Drosophila melanogaster: one gene and its partner. The protein of the gene in region 2 interacts with the protein of the main gene of each other region in a pairwise test. Each region holds a gene or a part of one and is shown on either strand. Other genes may lie near its edges.

Evidence for each region. The genes of interacting proteins can lie anywhere in the genome.
Region 1: the proteins of Shark (region 2) and drpr interact in binary tests that used the Drosophila melanogaster proteins (3 or more experiments, as listed by UniProt).

The regions. Positions count from the first base shown.
Region 1 is NT_037436.4:1,726,178-1,734,590, forward strand, and holds the start of drpr (draper), read right to left. Parts: upstream 4,931-8,413; 5' UTR 4,348-4,930; intron 1-4,347. Other genes in the region: Oseg4 (outer segment 4), read right to left, coding at 5,151-5,343, 5,412-7,112, 7,168-7,466, 7,529-7,632, 7,684-8,256, 8,310-8,413. UniProt on the Drosophila melanogaster protein: Receptor which is involved in the phagocytosis of a variety of cells including apoptotic cells, severed and pruned axons, degenerating dendrites, salivary gland cells, germline cells and bacteria.
Region 2 is NT_033778.4:16,197,816-16,206,906, forward strand, and holds Shark (SH2 ankyrin repeat kinase), read right to left. Parts: upstream 5,070-9,091; 5' UTR 5,013-5,069; coding exon 4,934-5,012; intron 4,826-4,933; coding exon 4,329-4,825; intron 4,267-4,328; coding exon 3,745-4,266; intron 3,691-3,744; coding exon 2,463-3,690; intron 2,404-2,462; coding exon 1,910-2,403; 3' UTR 1,611-1,909; downstream 1-1,610. Other genes in the region: Lipt1 (lipoyltransferase 1), read left to right, coding at 1-523, 670-1,131, 1,192-1,362; mrj, read right to left, coding at 6,482-6,566, 6,627-6,939, 7,010-7,216, 7,505-7,765, 7,895-8,004, 8,086-8,150. UniProt on the Drosophila melanogaster protein: Following axon injury, required for recruitment of drpr and glial cells to severed axons and for glial clearance of severed axons from the central nervous system.

The DNA of each region.
Region 1 (8,413 bases), on a different chromosome or scaffold from region 2:
TCACAAATATTCAGAGGTCACATCTGGGATTTCTCAAATTTCAACTCAACATGGGGCTAAGAGATATTGAGAACTTGCCATTAATTATGTCAAGTCTACGTGTGAACTGGGCCAAGTAATATCCGAATGTGGTTTACAATTACCAGTGACCCATCAAGAATGGATTGCATAAACGTGGATCGCTATCTGTAAAATTATCCAGGCCGAACCATTTGCAATTGATGCCAGCACGGTTTTTCAGGAAATAAAGATCCACTTTTAATACCAAACATTAGGTATAATATATATGACAATCGCGAACAAAAGAGAGCTGTTTCTTTCAGTACTTGGTTATTTGGAACTGACATGAAGCACGGGCCAGCCATGTCTGGTCAGTTGGAAAGTACGTACAATTAACTGGGGGATTGTCGTGATCCACAATCTATATTTATATTGCAAAGATAATTGTTGGTTTCATTTCTTGCCAGCGAGAAATCTGATTCACTTAATCGCACGGCAGGTGCTCCCTTAACTCATCAGAAAGTGGTGTTTGTCAAGGCCGTCATTAGCAAGAAATCGCGTGATGAACTGCCAACGGCGCCAAATAAATTTTAAACGAGAAATTGTTCGAAACCCAGTGTTAATAGAACGTTCACGTTTTAGAGCAGATCGTGAATGTGTTCGCCCTCTTAGATACATATTACAATCCTTAAGATAGCCGAAACGATAATATACAACTGGGGCAATATAACCTAAAGTAGAAAGAGATAACCATTTGGCATACCCCTCGACTTTGCTCAAGATTTTACAAGTGATAAGGGTGGATGATAAGACCGCCGCAGTCATTCTCATCCATTACAACAGCGATGAGGTTCACTGATATTTGTTCTGTTGTAGGTGACTAATTCAGTCTCTCTATATATAAGCAGATCCACGGAACGGAAGGTGCGTAATCCGGTCATGGACAAAGACTAATAGAATAATACCAAATCATCCCGTAACATCATACAAATTTACGATGGACAACGAAATCGTGTGAACCAAACAATCCGGTCTAATTTAATTTGCAATTTGAATGCTAAATCTTTCATTTTAACGATTAGCAGAGTCCACGTTTTTCAAACAAAGTATAAACCTTTGGAATCAAAAATATTAACCATAAACTAGGGTGTTACTCTAACCCATTGCCATTAAGTTTCATTTTGCCACTCAATCTTCCCTTCCGCATATGTAGATCATATTAAAATGCGAACTTGCACGAGACAACGAGCTTACATTTGCAATTTACTTATTTGTTTACATGCCTGATTGGTGTTTTAATGAGCTAAATGAATATGTCGTGGATGAGTCACCTTAGGTTAAACAATGCTAGACTATAGTCTATAAACTATACGGATCTGTTAGTTGTATGTATAATAGGCGAGTGTGCGAGATTTTTCAATGGAAAACGTGTTCGGCACAGTTTGTTTTATCGAGTATCGAATCCATGCACCATTCATCGATACCGCATACCCAGCATCTGTTCCAATGCTGAGTCACTCGGATTTCATTCACAAAAGTCTGGCTAAGGCTCGAACTTCGGGTCAATCTACCGCTCAATTCGCAGGTTTGTATTTCAGACCTTTCCCAATATGTGTGTACTTTTGGCACACCTCATATTTATCATACCTCGCCCTTATCTGCGCCCAGTATTGGACAAGCAGAAACAACACGATGAGGCACACTGATAGTGGTTCTTAATCGGAAGGGGTCAACGAAAAGTTGAGGGAGAACCATAAAATGTTAGCAAAGGTAATAGAAGATTGATTAGAAGTAAGTTGCGAGTCCGTTTCCGCTGGCAATCTGTCTATAATGTATACATATGTAGGTACTTATATATGACTAATTTCCTGATTTTCGATGAAAGCTTTCGAAAGAAAAAAACAAAACAAAAACAAACCAAAGAAAATCTGCGAAATACTTTCGGACTAAGGAGAAAGCTTTGTTGTTAAAAAAACTCAATGGCATTCGTCTATTTCATTCAATTAGAATGATATGTATTTTATAAAGTATAAGCATTGCCTATTTTCGTTCCAATTAAACCTCCATCAGAGCTAAGAGTAGGTCTTATATTCTTCAAGTTGTGTGTATATATTTTGTGATGTATTTTCAATTGATTCAGCACAGTGCATATGTAAACATCTGGATTTGACTTGGATTACTATAATCTTAAGCATAGGGGGAAAATGAGCCAGCTATTCCCCCAACTTCAAGTACTGCGCACTTGATAAAGGCTAAACAAAGATTGTCGCTTCCCGCTTTATATAAACAGAATTATTCTACAAAGGAGGAGCCCTCACTTGAGCTGTACTTTGGATAGCGAAATCAAAGTCGAGTTTACTGAATCCACAATACACATCTCCAATAACCGCAACGCATATGTTTGGCGTTCAGTGGGCAATTTAACGCCTTGGCGAGGCGACAAAGCACATTTGGCAAAAACGATTATTAAGAATAATAAACGATTTCAATGGCAAGAAATAGATTTGGTATAAAAACAAGTTGTTCTGGCCCAGGAAATGAAATTATTGAAAGAATATCAGTTTGCACGAGGTCTAGGGTCTTACATTTGTGAACTACGTAAATGCTAGGCCAATCAAAACTTTCAGTGAACAGTTTAATTAAAGCAAAGAGGCAAAGGGTTCTCAAACGTTATTATTTTGGGATGGATGTTAGCTGCCATTATGAAGTATCAGTGAGAAACAGTGATTTCAGCTGTTTCGTATTCATTTCACAAGTGAGCCAAACACTCAACACCTCAGTTTGTATTGGCCAATTAGCGGGCGAAGCTCGGATTTCTAGCCCGAATTTGGATAGAGCTAGAAGCTTTCTCGATTGATTCAGCGAAGAGAACCGATTTCAGCTGAAAACCAAGAAAACATGTGTATATTATTCTAGTGGAAAGGCACCCACACATTGCAATGCAGACAGACGAACAAGAATTAAGCATAATCATCAGCAAAAGCGAAATGCACTTGCAACAATACGGAGAAAGCAAAGAAAAATGTTGGATAATGCAAACCCAAAGCGAAAAGATAGAGAACAGAGAATGTCGTAATCATAAGGGGAAAACTAACATCCCGACTCATGGGTTGCTCTCTAACCACCGCCACATTGGACAAGAAATCCCAGGAGGTTTCATCCCAGCCACTCCCTGCCACTCCTCCACCCAGCATTATCAATAAAGCTGAGTAATCATGGCGACGACAAAGCCCGGCTCCATAAAGGAACCTAAACAGACATTGTGACATGTACGGCATGGTATGATATGATATGATACCGAGGGTGGGGAGAGTGCACCTCTGAGTGCCATTTCAGTTTTTAATTTTGCAATGGCTTGTGGGACTTTTCGCTGTGCATTGCATTTCGAAGCTCGTGTCCTAAGCAGGCGTCATTGTTCATTAAATCACGTATGATAATAAAAATCAAGTTCCATTGCCAGTGTCAGAAATATAAGGTTAAGCTTAAAATCGCTTGGTTAAGGAAACTGTGTGAAAAATAAAAATGCTTTGTATGGGAAATATGATCGCAGTTTATTCCATACTTATTTAATGAATTCTATAAAAAATAAGAACGGTTTCTACATATATCTTAATTTGTGTGCACCCCCATATTCAGAAGTAATATGAAATATCGCTGAACTGATACCTTAATCAGTACTCATAAAGAATTAAACGCAAAAAAATTTTTTGCGACTTGATCTAAATTATAAACGGCTATTATTGTTATTTATTTTCGTGACGATGCATCGACTGTATTTTAATGTGTGCGTTAGTTAGGCAATTTCGATGTGTGTGAGTTTATGCTGGCTGGGTTTTCATTTGATCCGTTGGCGTTGTTGTTGTTGCGGCTGTGACAGCTGGAAGCTTCAGCAGCAATCTGGAAACTGGAAAGAATCCACAAGATGCGGGTTTCCAGGGAGCGAGGTGCTGGTCGCAGGGGGTCGATGAAAGAGAAGTTTGCCGATTTGCTGCCAATTCCCCGAATGACAGATATAAAGATACATGCATGAGATACAAAGAAGAAGAAGTCGACGAAAGCGCAAAACTAAAGCCAAAGAAAGGCCATTAAATTGTGCGAAAGAGAAACCAGAACAGGTTTAACTGTTCTTGGTGTGCGCCCGATAAAAGCGCTAATTGACACGCACACAAGTGCACTACTGCGGTCATAAACAAACCGCTCGTTGGGAAAGAAGAAAGGTGGAAGGGAAAGAGAGCTGACAAAGCTAACCAGGCGAAATTGCACATTTAACAGAAGAAAACTTATTTTTAACAACATAACAATGACTAAAATTAACGTTAAACTGCCACGATTGGGGTTAAAACTCACCTTGGCAAGAAGCACGGTGTAAACTGGTTTTCGGTTCTCACTCAAAACAAACCAAGAATGCACTCGCAATCGAATTCCACTCAATTTACACGTTTACGAAACTTTGGCCATTAAAACCTCGAGAGGATTTGTATTTTTAAATGCTTACAGCACCTTACCACATATATATATAGCTATATATATAAATTTGCTATTGTTTTTACTTTCTCACCATCCACAAAAACTTGTTTTCGTTGTCGCTACTCTCTATTTTGGCACTCTACTCGCAACTGAGCTGATTTAGCAATTAAAATGCAACCTCTTTAAATAAAAACAATTACTTTTCGTGCACTCCACTAACGACAACAATAAGGACAAACGGGCGCGACGCACAACAACGCAATTCTTTAATGCACTTAAGTATTTTCGTCGGTCAATTGGAGCTCGTTTGGTTTTCGCAAGCACCGCAATTACTATTTACTTTATTTTATATTTGCGTACGCACACCACCGCACGAAGCAGAAATTTATTTAACTTATTTAAAATTCAGCAAGAAACGGACAACCGACTTACTTAGCTGCACTCGCCAGTGTGACCGCTTTGCGAGTGTTGGATGAGCTAGTAGTGTGGCCCTAGCGCACTCCCCAGGAAATACTCACTGTGAACAGTCACTCTTTCCACTTATAACACTTTTCACTTGAAAATAAATTTGAATTCTATCTTAAAACTACATTGTTTATTTGCGGAGTAGATACGCCTGTACCACCTGGGATAAGCAGAATGAAAAACAGCTGGAGTAATTAAAACACTAGTCCCCGCTCATTTCAGATCTCCACCGTCATGGACACGATCAAACTGTGGCACAGTGGGCAAGTTCGGTGCCTGGAGATCTCGGTGGGAGCTGCGCAGTGGTGGCAGGTGGTACAGATCCATATGTTGTTCGTCGGCTGGGTGATGGGTTTCCCGGAGGAGATGCACGCCGGGAAGCGAGCATTGCACTCGGGGCAGGAGGGGGAGCTGAAAGGATCGGCATTCCATGAGTATCATCATTATAATCCAGCTTCTGACGTCGACCCTTCACTTACCTATCTGGCACGGGCACTCCGCAGGAATAGCAATCCACCCTATCGCCAGTGGTGTCCTCCGGATCGTACTTGGCGAAGATCCCAGCCGCCAACTCCTCGTACCGTTGAAGGGTAGCCTCGGGAAGATGAGCCTGTTGCTCCAACTTCATGAAAGCCTTGGAGCAGGTTCCGAAGGCCCGATCCGCACAGCTGGCCAGTGCCAACAGGCTGTAGATGTGCTCTGGAGGCAGGACGTCCTCGTAGTCGCGCAGCCTCACCGCAGTGACCACCGCACTGTGGACGATCCCGAAGCGAAGCTGCCTCTGGGCTAGGAGCATGAAGTGGTAGGCCTCGGCGCAGTGCCAAAGCCTCTCGATGGCGGCCGCATCCTCCAGGGCAATGGAGTCCAGTAGGGTGTTCCTGCCGCTGGCGTAGTCGATCTCCGTCGTGGCCACAGCCTTGAGGTGCTCCTCGGCCAGCAGAGCAGCCAGCACGTACAGCTTCTTGATTCTCAGCAGCGGAGCACGCTTCTCTTGCTCCCGTTCCGCCATTTGAGAAAGCAGGCGAGCTGCATCTAGATGACGCCCAGCATTCCGCTGCATCTCGATGGCTTCCTTGAGGCGTCCCTCCTGGAGCAACTGTGCCGCGTGCTTGGCTATGAGCGTTTGCACCTGGGGCAGCTGGAACCTCTGGGCCAGCTCAACAGCCTCGCCCCACTGCCGGAGATTAACGCAGGTGGCGACGGCGGCCTTCTGGTCGCCGAATCGAAGATGGGCTTGAACAGCCTCGGAGCACATGCCCACGGAGGCCAGCATCTCGGCCAGCTTCGGAAGCAGCGGGCTCTTCTCCGGTAGCCGTTCCACGCACTTTTCCAAGTCGTCGAACTGCTCCAAGTGGTACAGAGCCTCCATGTAACCCTCCAGGTAGTGGGACTTCTCGTAGTATTCCCTGGCACTCTCCCAGGAGCGCAGGTTGGCGAAGTGGTGGCCAATCTCCCGCCAAGCGATCTCCATCTGCTGGTCCGACACTCCCGATCCTCCCATTCTGTACAGCTGCACCACGCGAAACCAATCGCAAAGGGTCATGCGCAGCTCTATGGCCAGATCGCGACGATCCGCGTCCAGGTAGAGCTTCTCCGCCTCCTCGAACTCTCCGTAGAAGGCTGATATCTCCGCCCTCTGCAGCTCCTTGGAGTGTATGGTGCGCAGTCTCTTGACCAACTTAATGCCCGGGTAGTGGGCACAACGGACAAAGGCGTTCTCCGCCGTCTCCAGTTCCAGTTTCTTCAACGCAGACTCCGCCAGCAGTCGCCAGAGCCTCGGATGCGGGTTGTCCTCAATGAACTGCTTGGCATCCTCCAGTCCCACGTGCTCCAGTAGATCGTCGGTATCGCGCAGGGACTTTACCCTCAGCTGAATGATATGCGAAAAATTCTGCAGCTCACCCACGCTGATTATGTCGTCCAGCAGGACACTGGTGATCTCCAAGTCCTCGAAGGTGCATATGTAGCCGGAGCAGGACACGGGCTCCTCGGGATCATTGCCCCGGAAGATATACATGCGCGTTTTCTCCATCAGAGCCAGCAGCAGTGGGTTATCCGTGGCCCAGCTCACGGCCCAAACGTCCTTGCGCTCCACCCGACTGAAGTTCAGTTGGGTCTCCCTGTTGTCGTCCAGGTCGAGCAGGGTCATCACGCCCATATGGTCGATAATGGCGGCTCGTCTAAGTAAGGAGTATAAATATTACTAGTATCAAGGGAGTGTGGTGGACTACCCACGTGGAATTGCAGTTGATAGCCATCTTGTAGACCTTGGCGTTCATCAGGTGGCGGTTCCTCAGAGCCACGTTTGCTATGCTGTACTCGTTGATAGCGCCGGATTCCCTGGCGACAAGGAGCAGCTTCTCGGAGAGTGCCAGCGCACAGATGGGATCACTGATTCCCCGCTGCGTGGAGTGACCATCGCCACTGCTACTGCTCAGCATCAGGTCCTTGGCCATTTCCACTCCCGTGGGCGTGTCGTCGATATGGAACCGCTTCTCCTTGCGCGCCTTCACATTGTGCAGGGTGGAGGCACTCTGAAGGGAGATCAATGGGGGTTAGTCAATTGGTAACCAGGTTGATGACTGAAAGTGCCCACCTTGGGTGTGTGGTAGTGCCAAATTAGAATCTCCTCCTGGGACGCTATGGCCACATAGCTCGAGTTGATGCCCACAAAGCAGGGTCTAATATCCGTGTACTTGGCTAAAAATAACTGGGATTAGTCCGAAACATCAACAACGGTGATCTACTCACAATCCACGGTGGTGCCAATTGAATTGCAGAGGAGCAACTGGTAGACCCTATCGTCCGCAGGATTACTTCGGTTCTCCAGGGTGCTCAGCGCAATCTCCTTGATGTTGCTGCTGACACACTCGACGCCCAGGACGCAATGCTCGCTGCTGGACGCCAGGCACAAGGTGGGCTCCACCTCCTTGAGGAAACTCTGATTTGAGACGGTGTTCCAGAAGGTGATCACGCTCATGGGCGACTCCCTGGTTGCACTGCCGCTGTTCAGGAACACCACAGTCTTCTCGAAGTAACACCAGATGTAGTCCGGTCGGATGTTGGCGAAGTAGATGAACGAATCCACGGCCATGGCGATGCGCAGCGATTTGCCCTCCCAGCTAAGCGAGGTGATGTCGGTGCCAGGCACCTTCAGAGTGCGGTAGATCTTGCCCAGCGGCGAGTAGAAGCACACCTGGTTGGTGTCGCGCTGCGAAGTCGGACTTACCGCGTCCAAGGTGGTGCCACAAATGGCCAACACAGTGCCATCATGGTTCCACTTGGCGTCCACATTGCGCATCCCAGTGTCGAAGATTGCGGGTGCTAAAAGTCATGTGGGTTAGTTAGGAGACTCTAGAGCTTGCATCACCTCCTACCGTCGTCATTTTCGTTCCTCATGATCTGCACCCTTCCGTTCTCATAGCAAATGGCCAGAACTGGACGCTTTCGACTCTGGACGACCCTGCCACTGAACCAGCAG
Region 2 (9,091 bases):
GCGGCTACTTCTCTCCTCCGCCGCTCAGGCCACGCGCCTGGCATCCAGCGGAGTGGAGCCACCATCTGCTGGACAGCAGGAGATTAAAAAGCAGAGGCGCCAGCCACCGCCCGTGGTTCCCGATTCGGAGATCAAGAAGTCCGTGTTCATCTCGCAGTCCAGCGATGTGTTCACCAACCTCGCTCTAGAGGATTGGCTGTACAAAAACTTTGATTTCAGCCGCCACCATGTGCTGCTGCTGTGGGCCAACGACCCGTGCGTAGTCATTGGTCGCCACCAGAATCCCTTCACCGAGGCTAATGTTTCGCAGCTGGTGGAACGCGGCATAACACTTGCACGCCGCAATAGTGGCGGTGGAGCGGTGTACCATGATCTTGGGAACCTCAACTGCACCTTTTTCTCGCCCAGAGAGCGCTACGATCGCAAGTACAACCTGAACATCGTGACCAGGGCCTTGTTCCGCGAATGGGCCATCAAGGCAGAGATAAATGAGCGCGACGACATTGTAGTGATGAATAAGAAGGTGAGGAGGAGCGGTGGCTCTTATCAAGGAATGATGCGACCCCGGCTGATCCCTCACATTGGCATCAGCTCACTTAACCAACAGCTGGGGCTGTGCATCTGGTCTTTATTTGCCCACTCAACGAGTATGCCCTTGTTCAATTACAGATTTCCGGCACTGCGGCCAAGCTGGGACACCCGAACTCGTACCATCACTGCACCATTTTGGCCAGCGCCAACAAATTGCACTTGGGCGAATCTCTGGTGCGGGAGCCGGCCAATTATATTAGCAAGGCCACGGCTTCGGTGCCGTCGCCCATTCGCAACCTGGTTGATGTCAATCGCACGGTGAACGTTGCTCAGCTGCGTTCCGCCGTGGGTTACGAGTATTTGAGAACGGCTGCAACTACGCTTGAAGACGGCGGCAGCACACAGACGATGCAGCAGCGCGGCTTTCAGCTGGTCAATCCCACAGAGAAATGGTTCCCCGGCATTGAGGAATTGCGCTCCAACTACAGCTCTTGGGACTGGGTCATCGGCAAGACTCCCAAGTTCACCGTGCAGAAGGAACTGGAGGTGAAGGGCGATGAGCAGGACATGAAACTGAAACTAAGCGTGGAAGTGGAAGCGGTAAGATTTGTTTTGCCCTGTTTTAGAGAATTATCACTTATGATTTTACTAAATTTGTAGGGATTAATGAAGGAGATCGGCATCCAGCTGCCGCAGAGCGATCAGCTCGTCCCGGTGGTGACTCCGCTCCAGGGCAAGCCCTACAACGAGGAGAACCTGAACGGAATACTTGGCGCCCTTAAGCTCGTCAGCGCATCGAATGTGAAGCAGGCAATAAACGGATCAGCTTGATTACTGTTGTGCTAGCTCGAAAAAATTAACAAAAAAATATATAATCCATTTCTAGAGCACTAACCACGCTAACGTAGTTATAATCTTTCCAAGAAACCATATTACTAACCTAGTATTTAAGCGGTTTACCAACAAACTATTTACTTTTGTTACCACGTTTTATATAAAAGAACTGCATTAAATGTTTAAACATTGATTATTAAAGCATACTGCTGTATTATTTAATACTAAATCAAAAAGCGCAGTATGTATAAAAATAGTTTTTATTTTGTATAACCAATGAAACAAAATGGATTTGTAAAAATGAATACAAAGCTTATATGCTAAATCTTTAAGGCACTTGTTCGCTTTCTTTTGACACAAATTGGTTGTACATATGATTAAAAAATATATTACAAGCTATAAACATGAATACTAGGATACGGAACAACAATAGTGATCTGTGGGTTCCAGATCGTTAATACGTTGAAAACGAAATAGAAGACATTGCATAAATAGCTACAGAAAATTGCACTCAGAACGGAAAAAATGGAAAATGGAAACTGGCTTAAATGTGAACCGTTTGCACCAATTCCGGCAGGTTTTGGTAATCAGGATCGCGGGCGAAAAACTCGGTGAGATAGACAAAGGTTGGCCGATCTTTGGGTCGTTCCTTCCAGCAGCTCTGCATCACGGCATAGATGTAAGCTGGACAGAGATTGGGCTGCGGCAGGCGTTCGCCACTGTCCACCAACTTGATGGCATCGACATTAGATATTTCCCCATATGGCGGTGCGCCGAGGGAAAACATCTCCCAGATGGTCACGCCAAAGGACCACACATCACTGGCGTGCGAGAAGATGCCCAGGTTGAAGCTTTCCGGTGCGTACCAGCGGATGGGCCAACGTCCGCCCTGGGTGAATTGGTATTCCGTGCTACCGGGTCTCAGTGATCGCGACATGCCGAAGTCACTGATCTTCGCCTGGTGGCGTGCGGTCAGCAATATATTTCTGGCGGCCAGATCGCGGTGTACAAAATGCTGTGATTCCAGATAATGCATGCCTGGTACAAACATTAATTAATTAATTGAATTGAATCAAATTGTCTTGAATTTGACTTACCACACGCAATCTGTGACGCCCAAACTTTCAGCTCCGCATTGGCCGTGATCTCATGACCATGATCCAGTATGTACTGCAGCATGGAGCCCAACGGAGCTAGCTCTTGAACCATCATTAGCATTTCACCCTTCGCAATGCCAATCAATCGCACAATGCACTTGTGCTCCAGCCGCATCATAACTGATGCTTCGCGCAGGAACTCCTGTTTGTTGCTGTGCTCGTCGCTAAGCATCTTAATGGCCACCTCCAAGCGCGATTCCTCGCCGGCACCGCTCTTTCTCAGCAGCCATCCACTGTGCACCGAACCGAATTCCCCGTGCCCGATCTCTCTATCCAGCACTAGTTTTTCTGGCTCAATAAAGAATCTCAGCTTGGCGGCCTCCACCTCAGTGGCGCTTGGTGTGCTTGGCGTACCGCTGCACTTGCGATGAAGATAGCTGGCCATCTCACTTTCCGTTGATGCGTTCGGACCAAGCGAGTTTAGTCGCGCCACGGCGGGCGCCTTGATCTGCTGATCCAACAGGGATAGCACGTCCATTGTGGGCTGGTAGCCGTTGCCGATCCACTGACCTGCTCGCTCGCGCTCTATGGCCACATCACTTTTCGTGAAATACTCAACTTCGGCTTCAGTCTTTTGGGCAATCGGTGGCAGGTCAATCTCAATGGGCGTGTTGTTCCTGGGCACGTTGTACACTTCGCCAGCAGCGGCGGCACCAGAACCAGTTACGCCATCCGCGTTAAACGTTGAGAACTCCGTCGAGAACGACAGGCTCTTCAGCATGGGTGCCGCTGCCTGCAGCTCCTGCTCCGTTCCGGCCAAAGAACCACTCACACTGCTCTCGGAGTCACTGCGTTTGCCCTTGGACTTGTTTTTGCGCAGGCTGTTCATGTCGAATAGCGCTTTCTTCGGACTCGTCAGTCGCAGAGTGTTGAACATTGAGCTACTGTTCTCCTTCTGCTTTTTCTTCGTTATGGTCAGGGCGGGAACGTGGGGGTGTTGATGATGCGAATGTGGCGATACTGGAGTGGGCGGGGTAGCGGGCGATGCTGCTTTTGGCTTCATATTAGATCGAGGTATTGTGGCAAACGATGGCACCTCTGGCTTGGGCTGTGGCGGAACCGGATACTTGAGACTCACTGGCAACCCGTACGAGAAACGCATGAAGTGGGCTATTAGATGTTCCACGCTTGGCCAGTAGGGACCGTCATCAATGTACAGAAACTTGGACTGCAAAACAGAGGTTACTTTAAAGAGAACATTTAAAGTACGGTGATAACTTACCCCGCCCGACTGCACCTTGTTACCATTCTGGTAGAGATCAGCTTGCGAAATACGAAAATTCTTGACCACCTGATCACAAAGCAATGTTAAAACCAACCCCGAGGCCGCCGGCGACTCGGAGTAGCGAACCAGAAAGCAGCCGGAGGTGTCTACTTCAGGTTGCTTGGCCAATAGCTCCTTGGCATGCTTTTTTAGTATGGCTACTGCCTCTTCTCTGGTCAGAGTGCCATGATACCACTGGTCTCTTGTGGTATTCGCCGGTGGGAGCTTGTAGTTGAGCAGGAATTCTTCTACTGCCGTTTGGCCCGCTTCCTTGGCCAGATCGAATGGAAATTCACCCGAACTTGTTCTGGGCAACGGCGGAGCCTCAGCCAGGAGCAGCTCTTGCACAGCCTCCAGGTTGCCGTGCTTGGCAGCCTCATGCAGCGGCACATAGCCGTTGTCGATGTTCCTGCCCTGGACATTGGCCTGTGCCGAGATGAGTGTGCGTATGAAACTGGCCGGTTTGGAGCGAGCGGCGTACTACGAATGTAAGTGTATGGTTATAGGGAGCTTTATGCATAGTTGTGCGTGGGTAAACCTACGTGCAATGGCTGGCAGCCAAAGGAGTCGGAGCTGTTGACCTGGACCTTTGCATTCAACAGGTGTTTCAGTATATCCTCGTCCGAGTGGAGGGCAGCCAGATGCAGAGCCGTCTGTCCATCCTGATTCTTGGCATCGAAATTCCGATAGCCGCACTTGAGCAGCTCGAAGACGACCTTGCTCTCGTTTTTGCTTGTGGCGCGATGCAGCAGATTGGTCACTCCGTGGCTGCGAGTGTTGTGCGGCGGCAGATCGCGGATCAAGGGCACCGTCAGCTTGGTGGGCAGACCATTGGCCGCCTGCTGATAGTAGTCGACGAGCGTGTCCAGGCCGTGCAGTATCTTCGTCTGTACCTTGTCGTCGATGGAGAAGAAGGCGTCCTCGCCGCCATGTCGCCGCACCTGGTAGTGACACACCTCACCCTGGCAGAGCAGGCTCAGCACAAAGTCCCCGGCCGCTGTGCTGCTCTCGCGCACCAGAAATGTCCCGTCCTCGTAACCTGTTGATTGATTGCCATACCAATTACCCATCATTGTGCTCCACCACGCCCACATCCCAGCGATCATCACTGATGTCAGGCCAATTGGCGTCCTGCGCCAGCACTTACCCTGCTTTAGCAGTTCGTCGGCTGCCTCGCGGGACAGGTTGCCGTGGTACCATTTCATGGGATCACTATCGCGACTCATTTTTGGGCCATTTGCTCCGATCCTGCTGCGTTTTGTTAATAATTTTGGGGAAGTGTGATCGTTGGTGGATCGTAGGAAAATACCGCCAGCGATCAGTGTTGCCAATTTAGCTTTCTTCCACTTGATTCTGGCTTTTTTACTTATGATATTTCAATTTCTTTTAATTTTCACGCTAAAAGTTGGCAGCACGGCCAGGGGATGGTCGCGTTGCCAACCAAAGAGAGTTGGCGGGAAAATTTAAAATTTCACTCTTAAGATTTCATGGTTTATTATTCATTATTGCTGATTTAAAAATAACTTAAAAGCGAGTTCAATTAAAACTTGATTCTATACATCAATATAAATGCTCGCATAAGTGATTATAATTGTTTATATAAAAATACCTATTTATAATAATATTTAATATTATGTCAGAATTATCATCGATCAGCTTGCATCGCAGAAATTCAACGAATTAATTAAATGAAACTATATTTAAAGTAGTAATAAAACACTTGTCTTAATTGTTTCGCATCTATTGTATATTTTCATTCTCATGTGTTTTTTTTTTTATTCTCATTATGAAATTTTCGCTTAACAAAGTATTAAATTATTGGCGATTATGTTACGATTAATTTTCTTTTCGCTCTGCAGGTTATGTGAGAATAGTCTTAAGCATTTAAAAAACGACTATACGCTAGCATACAGCATCGAAATTAATAAAGAAATCTAGGTTATGAAATATTTATAAAAATTAAATGTCATCGTTTAGAATATTCATATTCATATCCCTTACAATGTAAAGAAAAATTAACGCAAAGCCTATTTTAGTTCCGATTCATTGCTTAGATTGAATTTCTCCGCTTTCGATTTCCTAGTAAGTATTGTGGCAACTTAAGTGACTAACGATACATACACGAAGAATACATAATTATCCCCCCCAAAAAGATATACACCCAAACACACTCGCTCCGAACAGCATATTTAAAATCTGGCCCCTAAAACTTATTGGCTAAATTTTCAGTATGGTTTTTCCATTAATTCTCGTGGTGCTCGATGGTGTTGGCTTTATTCCACCGGTGCAATTTTGTTGTAGGGCAGCTGTGTTCAAAAACTATGCTTAAAAAATAAATTTCCATATTTCGCTATTACGGGGAATTTTGATTTAATTCAATGGCCTGTTCCATGTTCCATATTTTTGGTGTGGATATCGCTGCTGTTAGTGTTTCTGCTGTTGATTAATTTTTGCTTGGTCCTTTCGCTGGCTGTTGATTCATTTATGGTGCTGTTCGGTCCATTAAAAGTAACTAAATTGTAGTGTAGAGCAAAGTTTTAAAGTTTTAAAAGTATCATATTTCGAAGCGGTAACGAATTCCGAGTTCTTCTTGGGCTTGTTAATATTCATTCGGCTTTACATTTATGACTTTTCCTTTGTTGATTTTTGTTGATATTTATATATATATATATTATGTGTGAATTTAATTAATTAGCTATTGAAGGGAGCCCATCACAGTCTTTGATTTCAGAACATCATTTTCATATGAAAAGACAGTTTCCTTGCCGTTTTCGACGACCCTGAAAATGCAAATGCAGATATGAAACGATTCTATGATGGCCAGATAGAGTTTATCATACCGTTTGGTCATCAGTTTCTTGCCATTCACAAACACCGTCGAAGTGGAGGTGCGCTTGACACTGGCACCGGGTCCGCTGGAGATGTGGGTGACACCGCTGCTGCCATTGCCGTGGGTCATCGACGAGAACGAGGTGAAGCCGCTGGTGGGCATAAAGAAGTCCATCATTGAGTAGTTAAGCATTGGAGCCCCGAACGGACTGGCCACTTTGTGCTGGTGGTGATGATGATGGTGGCGAGATGATCCACTGCTGCCGCCATTGCGTCGACTGCCACTCGAGCCGCTTGTGCTGCCATTCGAATGTCCATTGGCATCTGCAAAACGATAATCATAAAAGTTAGAACACTCTCTACACACGTTTACCCATCCCATCAAAACACTCACCTCGGAATAAGTCGGCGAAGGGCGAGTGGATGCCGAAGAACTCACGGAACACTTCCTCGGGCGGGCGGAATGCAAACTGAAAGCCGCCCAAAATATCGAAGTCATCGAAATCGTGTGTGCTATAATGGTGGCGGGCATGCGAGCGACTCTGGCCACGATCGCCCAGTCCATCTTTGCCATACTCATCGTATATGCGACGCTTTTTCTCTGTTAAGAAATGGGAGTACATGGTAAGTTGGGTGTGAAACAACAGGAAAGTAAATGCAATTAATTAGTAATAAACGCTCGAGCTGCGAGGATTAGCTTAGACTTAGCATGGAAACAGTGGTGGGAAAGGTTATGAATGCTTATGAATGCTCCCCCATCACTGTACGAAAACAGCGTTTAGTTGCAGATAGAATGACGAACGAAAAACAAAACGACGTGCGCCAGGATGTCAGTCAGCAAAACCAAAGTAACGAAACAATTGCAACGCTTTTGGCCTCTCGCCTTTACCGAACATCTTGTGGAACGGAGTGCCCTCGAAAATGTTGCGAAACGTGAAGGCCTGGTACCGGTTGCCGGAACGCCGCCCGGAACCAGACCCATACCCCGAGCCCGGATAGTAGTCGTAGTCGTAGTCCCGTCCATAGGACGACGATCCACCGGTGCCGCCGTTGCGATAGCGGGTATAGGAGCTGCTGTTGCTGCTGCTGCTTCCGCTGTTCGAGGATTTGTGCAGCGTGGCCCGGGCATCGTAGATTCTGCGCTTACGTGCTAAATACACAATATAAAGACTTAATGCCAGGCAGCCTGGATCATCCGAATCCGGATCACGTGATACCCAACCCAAATTTCTTTGTTTTTCGACGCTCGAAGAAATCTGCGCTTGAGCAAGGCACTTACCATCGGAAAGAACTTCGTAGGCTTCGGACAGCTCGCGGAAGCGTTTGTTGGCCTCATCCAGGTTGTCGGGATTCTTGTCTGGGTGCCATTTTAGTGCCAGTTTTCGATATCTGCAAGTGGTGAATGTTGTGATGAAACGAATATGTTGACCGGAGGATATGTGTTACTTCGAAAGTCATTTGTTTACTTACGCCTTCTTCACTTCACTATCGGTAGCGGATCGCGAAACATCCAAAATTTTATAGTAGTCAACCATGTTGGTGATGTGTCTTCGAGTTCTCGGTGGTCTCTATTCGCTGTATATCGTTTCAGCACGAATTGCAATCTAATGCGTTTAGTTTTTGGTCCAATCCTTTTCCGGCTTTTGCTTCTGCAAAATATGAACAAAAAAACGGGAACAGAAGATGATGATTAGTCAAGGGATTAGAGCCAAAAATGTGGGAATATTTGAGAAATGTCTACCTTTAGAATCGGATTTAGACAGAACTGAATTTGGAGTTATGTTTCAAATGTTGTTGCTGAAAAAGCAAAGGCGAAATGGAAAACATAAACAAATAGAGAGGAGCACACACGCACACACAGATAAACTAGATTTCGAGTAAAGCAAAGTCAAAGACAGCTTGGTTTGCATGGGCCGCCGACACTTTTCAATTTTTTCGAGTTCAATGTCGTTCGAAAACCCCATTATGCCATCGCCCACACACGCAAACTGTGAACAAGATAAACCGAAAAAGTACACGGCGATAAAAAGGCGACGAAAAAGAGATTCAAAAGCATAGATTACCAAATATATATTCGAATATTGCAATTATTTAGATTTAATGTTTAAGTAAAGTTATACCAACAAGCAAAGTAAAATGCAACATTTCGTAAATGCCATAATATAGTGTTAGAAGTGCCAATTTCTCTCTGTGTAGACAGAGAGAGAGAGAGGGGTATATCGAATACATGGCGCATGTGTAGGGCGCTCAGTTAGCCGTCCATCAACTTTTGGGGCAAAGTTGCTCAAGCGTTTTGCGCCCCTCTTGGATCTCCGATCTCGAACCTCAGATACCCTCCCCCCTCCCCCCTTCCACATTTCCGTGCAAAATAGTCGCTAATTTTATTTAATTTGTATTGTTGTTGCTGCCGCCCGTTGTCATGCAGCCCCCTTGACACAATTTGGCTTGATTTCATGCGCGAGTGTTTTTTATCAAA